3 linked regions of the Oryctolagus cuniculus genome follow. The protein of the gene in region 2 interacts with the protein of the main gene of each other region in a pairwise test. Links are inferred from orthologs where the notes say so. Each region holds a gene or a part of one and is shown on either strand. Other genes may lie near its edges.

The links. The genes of interacting proteins can lie anywhere in the genome.
Region 1: the proteins of PEG10 (region 2) and retrotransposon Gag-like protein 8B interact in binary tests that used the Homo sapiens proteins (3 or more experiments, as listed by UniProt). The two-hybrid records come from large-scale screens. The link is inferred for Oryctolagus cuniculus from reciprocal best matches to the Homo sapiens genes PEG10 and RTL8B.
Region 3: the proteins of PEG10 (region 2) and retrotransposon Gag-like protein 8C interact in binary tests that used the Homo sapiens proteins (3 or more experiments, as listed by UniProt). The two-hybrid records come from large-scale screens. The link is inferred for Oryctolagus cuniculus from reciprocal best matches to the Homo sapiens genes PEG10 and RTL8C.

What each region holds. Positions count from the first base shown.
Region 1 is NC_091453.1:112,832,831-112,838,056, reverse strand, and holds retrotransposon Gag-like protein 8B, read right to left. Parts: upstream 3,174-5,226; 5' UTR 3,082-3,173; coding exon 2,740-3,081; 3' UTR 1,914-2,739; downstream 1-1,913.
Region 2 is NC_091447.1:41,285,471-41,291,151, reverse strand, and holds part of PEG10 (retrotransposon-derived protein PEG10), read left to right. Parts: intron 1-1,189; coding exon of another isoform or gene 1,190-1,319; coding exon 1,320-2,408; coding exon of another isoform or gene 2,409-3,589; 3' UTR 3,590-5,681.
Region 3 is NC_091453.1:112,805,884-112,811,165, forward strand, and holds retrotransposon Gag-like protein 8C, read right to left. Parts: upstream 3,169-5,282; 5' UTR 3,082-3,168; coding exon 2,740-3,081; 3' UTR 1,914-2,739; downstream 1-1,913.

The DNA of each region.
Region 1 (5,226 bases), on a different chromosome or scaffold from region 2:
AGAATCATTTATTTGAAAGGGAGGGAGGGAGGGAGGGAGAGAGAGAGAGAGAATGAATGAATGAATATGAGATCAATCTTTCATCTCCTGGTTAACTTCCAAATGGCAGCAACATCCATATCTGGGCCAGGCTGAAGACAAGAGCCAGGAACTCCATCCAGGTATACCACATGGCGGGGGGGGGGGGGGGGGGGCAAGTACTTGGGCCATCTTCCACTGCCTTTCCAGGAGCATTAGTAGGGAGCTGGATCAAGAAGAGGAGCAGTCAGAATTCAATTCAAACTGGCACTCCAACAGAAGATGTCAACAACGTAAACAACGGCTGAACCCAAACAATATCAGTCCATAGGGACTTGATCTTGTAATTCACAGCCTCTAGAACTGTGAAGGAATAAATGTCTATTATATATAAATTACCCAGTCTGTGAATACTGTCACAGCAGCACAAAATGGACAAAAAACGGCAAAAGCTTACCTGTTACAATGAACAAAGAGGAAAATCATGAAAACACATAGCTGTATTTGACTCCTCTACCTCATCCATGTACTGGAAAATGGCCCAAACTAGCAATGGGGCAAAATTTGACATTGCATCAGAACAGTGCCCTATAAGACTCCATATGAGTATCATATATTTTATTAAAATATTGTATTTTGTTGACCAACAATTACTGAGGGAGTACAGTCTTTTTGCAACACCAAATATGAAATTAAGCTGCACTTAAATAATGAGTGATAATGATTTCTCTGCTCATTAACAGAGTTTATATATACTTTTAATGCTTTTTGTATCACAAACAAGGTTTGTAAACTAAATGAACAATCTCATGTCTGCATTTGTTACACTTCTTATAATACCAAGGATCTGGAGATGCTTCTTTAAAACACTTGTATAATTCCACTCATTTTCTAAATAATGGACTTTTTTGTGTGCTTTAAAAATATTTATTAATGTATTGATAAGTGAACAATATTGATGAGGATTAAATAAATTCTGAAAGGAATGATTAGGGATTATGAGAACCATACAGGTTAATGTCCATACTAAACCACTTGGCATACAATTAGTCAACAATTATAATATTTCCTGTAAGCAAAATATTTACACAGTAACTGAGAATGTCTAAATGTAATTATTTTGCTCAAGATGCTAAAATATAAAGCATTTTTTTAAAAAGAATTTTACCTCTTTTAGGAAAAATCCTACTTTGTTTCCATTGATTATTGAATTTGATTATTCTGTGATTCAGTTAAACATAGCTATGGCGAGAAAGAGTCAATTAGGAGATTTTTGATTGCTTTACTTTTAATAGTTTGGGGGAGAATAACACAGGGCTAAAACATCCTCTGGCTCCCCCTTTTAACTGGCCAGTCACTCAGACTGCCTTTTCACATTAGTTAGCTCACCTCACTGGTGATCCCTTGGGAATTTGCAGAAGTGCACAGCATCACTGGAAACTAAGAAAATGTTCAAAATGTTTCTTGGGATTTGAAAATGAAAATAAAAAAAATCAGAGTAAATAAAACTTTCACAGCTGCTTAGAAACAATGAGTGTATAAATTTTATATTTTATAACAATTTGAGACTTGGGCTTTCAAATAACTTTTGAGAAATAAGGAAATCATTTCAATGAACCCTTATGGATGAATTCTCAAATCACCTAGGGGAAAAAAAGAGAAGTAAAGATTCATTTCCAAAGAGCTATGAAACATTTCTAATAGCATTATAGGATTCAGCACCAGCGACAGAATGCTCAGTGGTAGGTTCTCCATCCCCAGGACCACGGCAGGAGTGGAATCTTGATTTAGGATGGTCCAAAGAAACACTGAAACAGGTCATGCGGTTTCTGAACAAGATACAGACCCGCTTTGTAGGAGCACGGAGGGAAAGGTGGCACACTCAGTGAACGCAGTTTCTTATTGGACAGGGTCTGACATTTATTGAAAGAATGGAAAGACTTCTGTACAGGTAGTGTAAAAGAGCCGCGAAGACCACAGGGTCATAGTGTGGGACACAAGGCACACATCAGAGAGACAGCTGCACGTTCGGAAGAACCGGGACTCGGGGGGGCGGGGAGAACTACTGTCATGTCCACGGGAGGACGTGACAGGCGCGATTCAGCGCCCAGACCCTCAAGGTGTCTCTGGGAGGAGGGGGCGCGGCCTCACTCATGGTGGGAGGCCGGCTGGCCCCGCCGGGCAGCCGGCTGTCGGAGTCGGGGTCCGAGGGCCGCGGCCAGCCCAGACCCCTCGGAGGGGAGTCCAGGTGGCTCAGAAGAGCAGTCTGTCGGCGGGAGGCCGGGGGCGGCGGCGGCGGCGGCGGCGGCGGCGCAGGTGCGTGGGCAGAGCGATGCGGGCTGGCGGGGGGCGGCCGGCGGTGCGTGGTTGGTCGTCGGCCGCGCGGCGGGGGCCCAGCCTGCAGCCCGAGGGCCGGACGGCGGCCCCCGGTGCAGGGCACAGGCCGGGCCGGCGGCAGCGGGCAGGGCGGCGGCGCTGTCCAGAGCCAGGCCCAGAGGCAGCAGCGCCAGCCTGGAGCGCTATTCCTGGAACAAAGGCAAGCACGACGCGGGCGGGCGGGCGGGGGCGAGGGGACGCCGCGGCGACTCGGGGAGCAGGGGGGCGGCGGGACTCGACTCGGGCGCGAGCGCGGCGGGGGCCGCCCGCGGCGACCCTGGCGGCGGCCGGCGGGCAGCCCACCCTCCCCAGGGCAGCCGGCCCCGGGCCCGAGGCTCCGGCGGCCTAGAAGTCCTCGTCCTCCTCCCAGCCAAAGACGCGCTTCATCTCGGCCAGAAAGCCCCGGTAATCACTGAGGAGGGGACTGTCCTTCTTGATGTAGGGGATCACCCACTGCAGGGCGGGCCCCGTGAGGCGGGTGATGAGGAACGTCACCTTGAGCGCGTCGCTGGAGAACGTCTTCTCGTCCACGAACATGTAGGAGCCCGTCTGCACGATGAACTCCGGCAGCCGGTCGGTGTCGCCGTCAAACGTCTCGGGAAAGGGGATCGGGTTCCTCCAGCGACGCGCCGCGGGCCGCAGCGGCCGGGCCAGCAGGGCCTTCACGAGCCGCATGCGATTGTCCATCGCGCCGAGCTGGCTGGCGGGGCTGCGCGGAAGGCTGCGCTCGGGCGTCGCGGCGAGGACTCGTCGCGGAGGCGGGCCCGGGGAGGGGCGGGTGTGGGCGGAGTCACGCGCCGGGCTGCGGGCGGCGCGCGGGCCCGCCCACCAGGCCGAGCGGTCGGCACGGCGCAGGCGCGTGTCGGGAGCCAGCAGCGGCGGGGGGAGAGGGAGGCGCGGCAGGGGGCGGGATAGGGGCGGCCGGGGGCGTGGCCAGCCCTGGAGGAGGCGGAGTTGGAGGCGGGAGGGGGCGGTCCCAGGCGGGCGGCGGGCGGCGGGCGAAAGGCGGGGAGCCGCGGAGGAACGCGACACCCCAGATGCGTGTGGCGAGGCTGGGGTCTGCTGCTCTTGGACAGCTTCTGGTTCCACTTGGGGAAGTTAGCGAGTCCGGGGGCGTCGCCCTTCGTCCTCCCTCACTCCGCGCCCTTGCGCATCCCTTTGCGGATCTGGGCTCTGGCTGCCTTTTGAGGGAGGGTCTCTGAACACATGGTGCAACTCGGTCGTGTGTCTCAGCCAGAGAGGTGTTGACTCTGCAACATTACAGGCCAACCCCAAGTACTAGCGCAAAGTAATTACACCCTGAGCAGCTACTGTACGGAGGGTTGAATGCAAATAAATACCTTAATTTCCTGCAGTAAAATTCGGTGTGTGATTTACCTAGTTCAATCACTTGTCTATGGCACAATCCTGCCACGAATTATGAAACACGAGACACCTATTATCCCTTCAACACCTGTTTTTCCCCTAAATTTCATACTGTGCTCCTTGCACAGCACGTCAGCAGTTCTGGACTATTTCAAGGACGTGGAAAATGCATGTGTGTGTAACGACAGTGGCAATGCTGTAGAAGGGAGAGGGAGCATGAGGGAAGGGACAGGAGCACAGATGTTCCTGTGCAGGCATGTGGAGCCGGTCCTGATTTAAAAACAGCTTTGCTGGAGAAGGTGACTAGGATGGAGTTTCCAGAAAACTTCCTTTGCCCTAAACGGGGCCTGTCGACCAGACCAGACGTTTGAACGTTAGAGTTAGGAGATACATAAATGACTATAAAAGCAGTAGAAGGGAGAATAATGCTTCCATTTAGCTTCAGTTTGCAGCATAGTCTCTTTAACTGTTGGTAGATCTATATAGACCACTGAAGTACCAGAAGTGCCTTGAAGGATAGTCAGAAAAACACTAAACATTCAACCTATCTATTTTTCTTTTTTTATTTAGTAAATATAAATTTCCAAAGTACAGTTTATGGATTACAATGGCTTCCCTCCCCCATAATTTCCCTCCCACTCGCACCCCTCCCATCTCCCGCTCCCTCTCCCAGTCCATTCACATCAAGATTCATTTTCAATTATCTTTATATACAGAAGATCGATTTAGTATATATTAAGTAAAGATTTCATCAGTTTGCACCCACACAGAAACACAAAGTGTAAAATACTGTTTCAGTACTAGTTATAGCATTACTTCACATTGGACAACACATTAAGGACAGAGATCCTACATGAGGAGTAAGTGCACAGTGACTCCTGTTGTTGACTTAACAAATTGACACTCTTGTTTAGGGCATCAGTAATCACCCTAGGCTCTTGTCATGAGCTGCCAAGGTTTTGGAAGCCCCCTGAGTTCACCGACTCTGATCATATTTAGACAAGGCCATGGTCAAAGTGGAAGTTCTCTCCTCCCTTCAGAGAAAGGTACCTCCTTCTTTGATGACCCGTTCTTTCCACTGGGATCTCACTCACGGAGATCTCTACCTATCTTTAAGAGTAACAGGTCTTCATGGCTAGGAAAATTTTCTAAACAATAGCATGACTCTGGGATGGATCTTTCTAATGTTAAATGTGGGAGAATTGTAATAAAATGTTTACAAGGTGATTTAGAGAGACTAGAAAATTACACAGCGTAGAACACAAATGAATCAAGGCAATACTATTTAGACTATGGGCCCGATAATCCAGTAATTTAAAATAAAGATTTATATTTATTTTTAAAAGCAGAATTACAGAGAGTGGCAGATGCAGTGTGTGTGTATGTGTGTGTAGTGTGTGTGGGGGTGTGTGTGGGTGTGTGTGTGTGTGTGAGAGAGAGAGAGAGAGAAAGAGAGAGAGAGAGAGA
Region 2 (5,681 bases):
CATCTAAAAAGTTGGCTAAACTTTTAGAAAGTTTTTTAAACTTTCAGAAACTTAAACTTTTTTAATTAAAGTTTTTAAAACTTTTACATGTTAGGTTTCAAACTTCTAAGCTGTTTATTATTTAAGATTTCCAAACATGAGATTTGAGATCATTGAACTTTTAAAATAATTAAATCGCTCAAAACATTTTACCCTTTTTTCAGGAAGTATACTGGCAGACATTGTGTCAGGATCTGTTGCTGTGTGACTTACTGTCATCACAGGCAGGCCCCTAAACCCCCACCCCTCACCCTCACCCACCCACTCAGCCCTTAGGGGAGCAGCCCCTCCCTCTTTATATAGGAAGTTGCCTTTCCATTTTCCAATTAGTAATTTTATTAAGATCAACTAAACACCATTGGATGTTCACTATGTGATTTACCTGCATTATTTAATTAAAACCTCATAATTACAAGTTTGAGGTATACTATTATTGGGCTTTGTCCCATTTTATAGCCCAGCCCTTCCAATGAGGCATCAATTAATAGTTATTGAATGGCTACTTAATGACTAGGCAGACTGGCATATACATATTTCTACTGGGTGTCATTTCTGTCCCATAGAGAATTCTCTTGGGCAAGTTAAATTGTGGTCAGAAAAGTCATTAGTCTTGTGGTTTTGGTGGCAGTGTGGTGGTTTGATTTGACAGTCACTTAACCTTTATACAGGTGGACCAGGGTCGTGACCGCAGGCCTGATGAATACAGGAATCCTGATTGTAGTACCCCCTTCTTTCTTGTGGTTCCCTATCAGTTGGGATTTTAACTGGTTTTTGCGGAAGTTCTCTAGTTGCAAAAAGTTATTTTGGCTTTATTTTGCATAATGTATGAGGTGTCCGTCTTTGCCTTGGAAGTTTCTTGGTCTGTTCCCTCGAACACAAGTGCTTGTGTGGGGTGTGCCAGGGTTCTTGTGTAGTGTGTAAAAGCGTGCTGTTGATGCGGTTTTGAGAGGAAAAGGTCACTTGGCATCCAAGGGTGGATGCCTGTTTTAAAACTCTTGTCCTGATTGGTTCCTTCTTTCTCTTTTCTTCAGGAAGTGTGTTTTCTTTGATATTATTGACAGGACTAAGGAGAAGTTTCAAACTTAAATCTTTGCATATGCGCTGCTTTGGATGTGTATGTTGAATTTTGTACCTTTATCTTCACTTGCAGAAATAAGCGGGTTTTGAAAACAAAAAGGAGAAGGGGTGCACGTGGAGGCCAGGATCCGGGCCTCCATCCTCACAGGAGCGAAGAGGCAGCTGGGAGTTCTCCTCCCACCACCACCACCACCACCGTCGCCATGGGTCCCGACTGCCCACCGCCTCCCCCTCCCCCTCCCCCCAACAACAACAACAACAACAACTCCAAGCCCAGCGGCCACAAGAGCCCCTGCGTGCCCAACATGACCGAGCGGCGGCGCGACGAGCTGTCGGAAGAGATCAACAACCTGCGCGAGAAGGTCATCCGGCAGTCGGAGGAGAACAGCCAGCTGCAGAGCCAGGTGCAGAAGCTCACGGAGGAGAACAGCACCCTGCGAGAGCAGGTGGAGCCCCCTGCCGCCGAGGAGGAGGCCGAGGAAGACGAGCTGGAGCTGCGCGGGGCCGCGGCAGCTGCTGCCCCGCCACCCCCCGTGGAGGAGGAGTGCCCCGAGGACCTCCCGGAGAAGTTTGATGGCAACCCGGACATGTTGGCGCCCTTCATATCCCAGTGCCAGATCTTCATGGAAAAGAGCACCCGCGATTTCTCCGTGGACCGTGTGCGTGTCTGCTTCGTCACCAGCATGATGACGGGCCGTGCGGCGCGGTGGGCCTCAGCCAAGCTGGAACGTTCACACTACCTGATGCACAACTACCCCGCCTTCATGATGGAGATGAAGCACGTCTTCGAAGACCCCCAGCGCCGGGAGGCCGCCAAGCGCAAGATCCGCCGTCTGCGCCAAGGCATGGGCTCGGTGGTCGACTACTCCAACGCCTTCCAGATGATCGCCCAGGACCTGGACTGGAACGAGCCCGCGCTCATCGACCAGTACCACGAGGGCCTGAGCGACCACATCCAGGAGGAGCTGTCCCACCTGGAGGTGGCCAAGTCCCTGTCAGCGCTCATCAGCCAGTGCATCCAAATCGAGAGACGGCTGGCCCGGGCGGCTGCGGCGCGCAAGCCCCGCTCCCCGCCGCGTGCGCTTGTGCTTCCCAACGTGTCAGGCAACCACCAGGTGGACCCCACCGAGCCCGTGGGGGGCGCCCGCATGCGCCTCACCCAAGAAGAGAAGGAGCGCCGCAGGAAGCTGAACCTATGCCTCTACTGCGGCACCGGTGGCCACTACGCCGACAACTGTCCTGCCAAGGCCTCCAAGTCCTCGCCGGCGGGAAACTCCCCGGCCCCGCTGTAGAGGGACCTTCAGCGACCGGGCCAGAAATAATAAGGTCCCCACAAGATGATGCCTCATCTCCACACCTGCAAGTGATGCTCCAGATCCATCTTCCGGGCAGACACACCCTGTTTGTTCGAGCCATGATCGATTCTGGTGCTTCCGGGAACTTCATCGACCACGAATACGTCACCCAAAATGGAATCCCACTGAGAATCAAGGACTGGCCAATCCTCGTGGAAGCGATCGACGGGCGCCCCATCGCGTCCGGCCCGGTCGTCTACGAAACTCACGACCTGATTGTAGACATGGGAGACCACCGAGAGGTGTTGTCCTTCGACGTGACTCAGTCTCCTTTCTTCCCCGTGGTCCTGGGCGTACGCTGGCTGAGCACACATGACCCCAACATCACCTGGAGTACCCGCTCCATCGTCTTCGACTCCGACTACTGCCGCTACCACTGCCGCCTGTACACGCACCTGCCGACTGCGCCCCAGCCGCACCTCTACTACCCGGTGGACGGCTACCGCGTGTACCACCCGGTGCGCTACTACTATGTGCAGAATGTCTACACCCCAGTCGACGAGCATGTCTACCCAGACCACCGGCTGGTGGACCCCGGCATAGAGATGATCCCAGGAGCGCACAGCATCCCCAGCGGGCACGTGTATACCCTGTCGGAACATGAGATGGCGGCGCTGCGAAACTTCGTGGCCAGGAACGTGAAGGACGGGCTCATCACCCCCACCATCGCCCCGAACGGGGCCCAGGTCCTGCAGGTCAAGAGGGGCTGGAAGCTGCAGGTGTCCTACGACTGCCGCACTCCGAACAACTTCACCATCCAGAACCAGTATCCTCGTCTGTCCCTCCCCAACCTGGAAGACCAAGCCCATCTGGCCACCTACACCGAGTGTGTACATCATGTGCACTGCTGCCATTCTTGTCATTCATGCCATTTTTATCATTTGTGCCAAAGGTGCCATTCGTACCATGCCTACCCTTCGTACCCAGCCTACCCTGTGGGCTACGCCTGGTACCCAGTGGGCCGAGACATACAAGGAAGAGCGCTCTACATCCCTGTCATGATCACCTGGAACCCGCACTGGTACCGCCAGCCCCCCGTGCCGCAGTACCCCCCGCCGCAGCCGCCGCCGCCGCCGCCGCCGCCCCCGCCGCCGCCGTCGTCCTACAGCTCCCTGTGAGCCCGCTCGAGGCCGCGGGACCCCCGCCCTCCGGGCCTCCTCCTGTCCAGCTTCCCCGTCAGTGACTGTGTGCTGAAGGCGGCCGCCGGTGCCGCAGGTCAGGCATCGGCCAGCGCCTGCCCGCTGCGCTCTGCCCCGACTGCCATCTCGCGGGAGTCCACCTTCCAGCCTCCGTCACCACCCGGATTTCTAGCTGCCAAATTCTGAACCCAGAAGCTGACCCCACACAGGAAATGCTGACTTCTCCGAGGAGGGGGAGCGGAGGAGGAGGACAGGACTTCTCGCAGTTTCGGTCCTCTGAGTTACACCCCTGGAGGACCCGCGCCTTATGAAGGAAGCCGCATTTACTGGTGCAGTGGGCAGAGGCTTCCGTGATGCTAGTGCTGCACCTTCAGAAACTTCACCTTCTTCGAGCTCCACGTTCATGGTTCCGTTAATTCTCAAGGAGCAGCAACTCGACCGGTTCTCCCAGGAGCGGGCAAAACCCCTGCAACAGGAAACACCTCAGGCCTGGAAAGGAAGTGCTCTATCAGAGACTCTGGCGCGTTAAGAGTGTGCCTTCACACCCTGGTGCAAATCACACGTACCCAAGAACTCTGGCTCGACACAGCATCGACACAGCATCGTACCATCACCACGCCAGGAACAGCTTCCACCAAGCGTTCCGTGTCTGTGACGTGTCATGACCACCTCTCAATGACGCGCGTGGGCCGAAGAACAGCGAGTGGATAGGACTCCTAAACCCTGTACCCAACTCTTAAGAGACTCAGAGTTCCTTGTTTCCAACTTTTAGTGGTCTTTCAGAGGGAGTTTTCACGAGTGTTGGTGACGGGTTGCAACAGCAGCAGCTTACAGTTTTGGAAACATCTATCTGTGTGTGTGCCTCCATACGCATCTGGGCATTCCATCCTCAGTTCCCTCATTGGACTGTACCATTTTAGGATGCTGAGAGAGGGGCAATGATTTTGCACTCAGACCCACACTCCTGTACAAGGGAGGGATGGATGTCTTTGAGGAAGAGAAATTGTCTTGAGGATACTGACCTTCCTGGTGAGCTTTTTCATTCAACAGGGTGACCTGATGTAACCACTTTGAAAGGATCCCTCCAGGTGATGGAGCCAACATGAAGCTCTCAAAAATTGGGTGAAAGGCCTCACACACAGCTGTTGCCAATCCAGTGACCCCTCTGGTGTCAGCTGGACGCTCTGTGCTAACCTGGGACTGCCTGACTTCTTTAGCCTGGTCCCTTGCTATTACCTTGAAGTGTTTGTCTAACCTCTTTGTGTTTGATTCTTTACTACTGCCATTAACCCTGATGCAGGATTTGTGTCATCTTCCTGCTTGGTTGCTGAGACTTCATTTTGCTGCCTGGCAAAAGAAGAGGCAGGCTTCAAGGAGCGTGTGTTTGAACACACAGGCCTCCCATTGCCAACAAGCAGTTTGAGCAGTAGAAATAGTATCGCTTACCTTTAAATTGCTGCCATGAAGAGGAGTCTGATGGTGAAGTTTACTTTTTCATCAACATCCTTCACATGTGTATTGCCCCCCTTTCCTCCTGCATGTTTAAATACTTTGAGCTGTAGTAGTGTACCCTCAGCAGTGTTTTCAAGTGGTGACTGTGCTTTCAGAAATTTCCATTGAATTACAAAGGACTAATTCTTATTGATAAATTAAGTAAAAATGATGGTATAGCTTTGCATAAAGTGTTAATTTACTGTGAATTTCTTACAACACTGTGAATGTGTGGCTCCTCAAAACTGAAGTATTTGTACAATTGTTTATCTTTAATCTTTTAATATTAAGTATTTCAATTTATCAATTGACCTTTAAAAATCACAGAAAAAGGACCTACAAGTTCAATGAGGAAGCCTAATTGGCTACTTGTTTAATCTAAAACCAGTTTCCCTTTTTTCTTCAATGGAATTAGAAAGCTTGTCCTCATGTGTTTAGAGTAATTACCTTTAAAATGGTGCATTTGTGCTTCTGGACTATTTTGAAGCATTACTTCAGTTTACCTCAAATCAGTCCATCCTCCATACATTTGAACTCAACACTGTTCAGTGTCAGACTTAACAGTTGTTGATTGACTTCA
Region 3 (5,282 bases), on a different chromosome or scaffold from region 2:
CTTCTGAGATAAAGTTTTTAGATTTGGTATTGAGTAGTCTGTGGATAATGAAGTGAAGGAAACAAATTAAGAATGGCAACTGCAAAGTGAAACTGTAAAATAAGGAAAAAGAACTTTCCCTTAGAAATGTCATTCCTTTTGTCCATTTATGGACTTTTGCTAACATATACATGACTGATTTTCATGAATCATTGTCCTCCCAAAGACATTTGCAGTTCAAAAGAGGATTTGCAGCGATAGTACTAAGGTAGACCAAGGAACAAGAGGAATAAAACTGTAGGGGCATCATTATGTGGAGAATAATGGGTTACTAGCATAGCTTAATGGATACATAGCAGGTCCCCAGCCAATTCTATTTACTTTTAGAGCCAGGTGGACACAGATAGGGGGAATATGCAGGACTTACCGGGCAATGTAAACTGCTTCCAAACACTTTCAACACCACCTCATTAGAATCTACTTTAAAGCCAAACATCAAATATACTTAACACAGTTGTCCTTTATTCACATCAAGGTGGTCTGACTAATGAGAACCTTGAATTGGCTCTCATAACGAACCTGATTCTCATTGTTTTATCAGCCCCATAAATCATAAAAAACTTCACTTTGTTAAGAAATCTCAGTTTTCTCGGATTTTTAGAAAGACCTTGACATGTCAAACTGTGAGTTAATGATGTTTCCAGGTTTCTGGGAATAAAAAAAATATCACATATAAAACACAGCCAAATAATGTACCTTCAAGCTCTACATACAACCCTACAAATGACTGCACATGAATGACAGAATTTTACCTTATTTACCTTATTGTTTGTCAATTAGACAAACAATAAAATGTAAAACACCTCTTGGGCATTATTCTACATTCATATGGTTTGGAAAAGCACACACACTAGAAGTGAGGATGAGAGCAGATTCAGTGTTACCTTATCAGCCCACTTCAGGAACATCTGATTCTGTTGGGATATTTAACTTTTCCCAGAGACAGATGAGGTAACAAAGACTTTTCAGGAGAGTAAACCTAAGAGATTAGCATGTATAGAAACAGGTAGGTATAATTTTTTCTCCATCTTAAGGAAACCTAAAATTGTACTATTCTGCAGATTACAAACCAAATTTCTACCTACATTAACAATATGCCTGGGAAAGCAGTGGAAGATGGCCAAAGTACTTGGGCACTGCACCCACATGGGAGACCTGGATGAAATTCCTGGCTCCTGGCTTCGACCTAGCCCAGCCCTGGCCAATGTGGCCAATTGGGAGTGTAAACCACTGCTTTTGCTTCTCTGTAACTGCCTTTCAAATAAATAAATAAACAAATCTTTAAAATAAAAAAGAGGCTACCTGGTTGAACTTTCAAATCACCTTTGGCCATAAATGAGGTACACATCAATTTCCAAAGAGGCTTACAACATTTCTAACAGGTTTAGAGAGTTCAGCAGCTGGGATTGAATGGTCACCAGTGAGGTCTCCATTCCCAGGACAACCAGAGGACTCGATGTAAAGGCCATATGAACCATCGAATGTCAGCGCATATGGATTTGTTTTAAGACTTCTTTATTATTTTATTTATTTGAAGGGAAGAGTGATAGAAAAGCAGACAGAGGGAAAGAGAGAACTTTCATCTGCTGGTCCACTTCTCAAATGGCTGGGCCAGGAGAAAGCCAAGAGCCAGGAACTCTACCCAGTCTCCCACACAGGTGGCGAGGCCCAAGCACTTGGGCCATTTTTTCTTGCGTTCCCAAGCACATGAACAGGAAGCTGGATGGCAAGAGAAGGTGGGGTTCCAACCAGAACCCCAGTATGGGATGGCAGAATTACAACTATGCCATGCAGTCTCAAATGTGGTTTTGAAGAAAATATGGACCGATTTGGCAAGATCACACAAGGAAAGGTGGCACACTCAGTGAACGCAGTTTCTTATTGGACAGGGTCTGACATTTATTGAAAGAATGGAAAGACTTCTGTACAGGTAGTGTAAAAGAGCCGCGAAGACCACAGGGTCATAGTGTGGGACACAAGGCACACATCAGAGAGACAGCTGCACGTTCGGAAGAACCGGGACTCGGGGGGGCGGGGAGAACTACTGTCATGTCCACGGGAGGACATGACAGGCGCGATTCGGCGCCCAGACCCTCAAGGTGTCTCTGGGAGGAGGGGGCGCGGCCTCACTCATGGTGGGAGGCCGGCTGGCCCCGCCGGGCAGCCGGCTGTCGGAGTCGGGGTCCGAGGGCCGCGGCCAGCCCAGACCCCTCGGAGGGGAGTCCAGGTGGCTCAGAAGAGCAGTCTGTCGGCGGGAGGCCGGGGGCGGCGGCGGCGGCGGCGGCGGCAGCGCAGGTGCGTGGGCAGAGCGATGCGGGCTGGCGGGGGGCGGCCGGCGGTGCGTGGTTGGTCGTCGGCCGCGCGGCGGGGGCCCAGCCTGCAGCCCGAGGGCCGGACGGCGGCCCCCGGTGCAGGGCACAGGCCGGGCCGGCGGCAGCGGGCAGGGCGGCGGCGCTGTCCAGAGCCAGGCCCAGAGGCAGCAGCGCCAGCCTGGAGCGCTATTCCTGGAACAAAGGCAAGCACGACGCGGGCGGGCGGGCGGGGGCGAGGGGACGCCGCGGCGACTCGGGGAGCAGGGGGGCGGCGGGACTCGACTCGGGCGCGAGCGCGGCGGGGGCCGCCCGCGGCGACCCTGGCGGCGGCCGGCGGGCAGCCCACCCTCCCCAGGGCAGCCGGCCCCGGGCCCGAGGCTCCGGCGGCCTAGAAGTCCTCGTCCTCCTCCCAGCCAAAGACGCGCTTCATCTCGGCCAGAAAGCCCCGGTAATCACTGAGGAGGGGACTGTCCTTCTTGATGTAGGGGATCACCCACTGCAGGGCGGGCCCCGTGAGGCGGGTGATGAGGAACGTCACCTTGAGCGCGTCGCTGGAGAACGTCTTCTCGTCCACGAACATGTAGGAGCCCGTCTGCACGATGAACTCCGGCAGCCGGTCGGTGTCGCCGTCAAACGTCTCGGGAAAGGGGATCGGGTTCCTCCAGCGACGTGTCGCCGGCCGGATCGGCAGGGCCAGCAGGGCCTTTATCAGCTGCACCCGACCGTCCATTTCGCCTTGCTTGCTCTGCTGGGCTTTGCTGGCTCTGCAGGGCTGTGCAGAGGTCAGCAAGCAAGGAGGCGTCCCCGGAAGTGCGTTTCCACGGAGGCGGGTCTAGGCCCAGGGTGGGCAGGGCCAGGGCGGGGCTTATTCACTTCAGTAGCTTTTGCTTGCAAATCTGAATGGTCACTAGTCCGCAGATGCGTCTCGCGCTAGGGCAGGGAAAGTGGGAACGGGGGTGGGTGGGTGTTGAGGGGGCGGGCCAAATACCCTGAAGGAGGCGGGGTCGTAATTGAAGGATGGGCCTGAGTTTTCCCAGGGGGACTGCAGAGGCGGAGCGGGGATGGGGGATGAGCCCAGGAGATTTGGGATTGAGTGTTGAAGGCGAGTTCGCTAATCTGCGACAGCAGATTTCAAGTTCTGAAAGTTGATGAGTCCTCTTGCTGCCCTCCTCCACGTCCCCCCCCTCATCTTTTTCTTGGGTATTTCTAGGCAGACCCTTGGCTCCGGATGCCTAGAATGCAGTTCTGGGATACTGCTTCTTCATGTATCTTTCAGCCAGAGAAGAAATGGCTCCCTGGCAGCAGATATGGTGGTTTTGCAGTATCAACAGGAGGGCCCCCAATGTGAGCAAATATCGTCCAGGACAGAATATTAAAATAATAAAGCACCATGAGCAATTAATATAAGGCAGGTTAAATGTTAAGAAATCTCAATTTATTATAAATGCTAACCATAATTGTTACCTATTTTGCTGATCCATAGGCAATTCACGACATTGCTGCTAGCTCTAAGGCTTGCAGGAGAGATACAGTGATTCTGCTTGCAAAATGCAGTCATGTATAATGTAACATAATCATTACAATAACAGATCACCACCTTTTTCATATTGTATTGTTTAGAAGCCAATTGCATTCCCCATTAACCACTTAGGCATTAAGAGGGCAACATCCGAGGAACATCTGAGCAACCCCTGAGAGAGCTGGCCAGCGGTGTGCTGCTCCTCCGCGGAAGTGGGGAAAGCGGCGGGGGTGCCGCCCCTCTGCGGAGGCGGGGGGGGGGGGGGGGGGACGGCAGCTAACCTGGAAGGGCAGCAAACCCGGGAAGGGCCGAGCAGACAAAAGAACAGCGCAGGGTCTGGTGTCGTTCCTCCGCGAATTAGGGAGCGACATAATGGGATGGAGGCCACTTGGAGTCCGTTTGCTACAGTATGGCCATGCCACAGTTGGTAATTTAGCCGCCTTTTGAAGGGCATTCTGCATGTTTCCATGTTTTGGCAATTACAAATGAATCAGCTATAAACAATCATGTAAAAATATTTGCATGAGCATATTTTCACTTCTCTAGGGTAAATACCTACAAGAAGGATTTCTGTGTCACATGATTCAAAAAAGAACTGTCATTCAACCAGGAGTAGAAGGGAACTCCTAAATCTGATTAAAGGCATCTATAAAAATAATCCCGTACAGCTAACATCACAGTTAAACTGGGGAAACTAGAATATTTCTCACCGTCAGTTCAAGAGTAAGGCAAGTAAGTACACTCTAAACACTTCTAGGCAGTGAAGTTAGGAAAAAGCAAGTAGGTAAAGGAAAAAGAAATAAAAGTTTGGACTGCAAGAAGGAAAGCACTTGTTATTTGTGGACAACATGATCTCTAAATAGAAAATGGATTCTTGAAATATGTTCATTGGTGTACTCCTTTCTGCCCAAGGATGCCACTGAGGAAGCATTATCAAAATCTCTCTCACTGCTGCTGTCATGTCTAAGCCATAGTCCCCTAAAAAGCTGGAACAGCTTTGGAAGCTCTCCATCAGAGGGTTGAGCTCTAAAACAACTGATGAGAGTCTGACGAGCCATTTTGAGCAATGGTGACCGTGTGGTAATGAGGTCAAACTCCACAGGTTCCAGGAACTGTCATCTATGCCACCATGAAGGAGGTGGTGGCAGCTATGACTTAAAGACCACACAAGGTGGATGGAAGAACTGTGGAACCAAAAATGGCTGTCTCAAGCCTCTCAAAGATGGGGGAGGGGGCACCTAACTGTGAAAAAGATCTTTTGTCATCGCATTAAAGAAGACACTGAAGAACATCCCCTCAGAGATGATTTTGAACAGTGTGGGGAAATCGAGGTAATTGAGATCATGACTGATTGATGCAGTGGCAAGAAGAGGGGTTTTGCTTTTGTGGCCTTGGATGACCACGACCCTGTG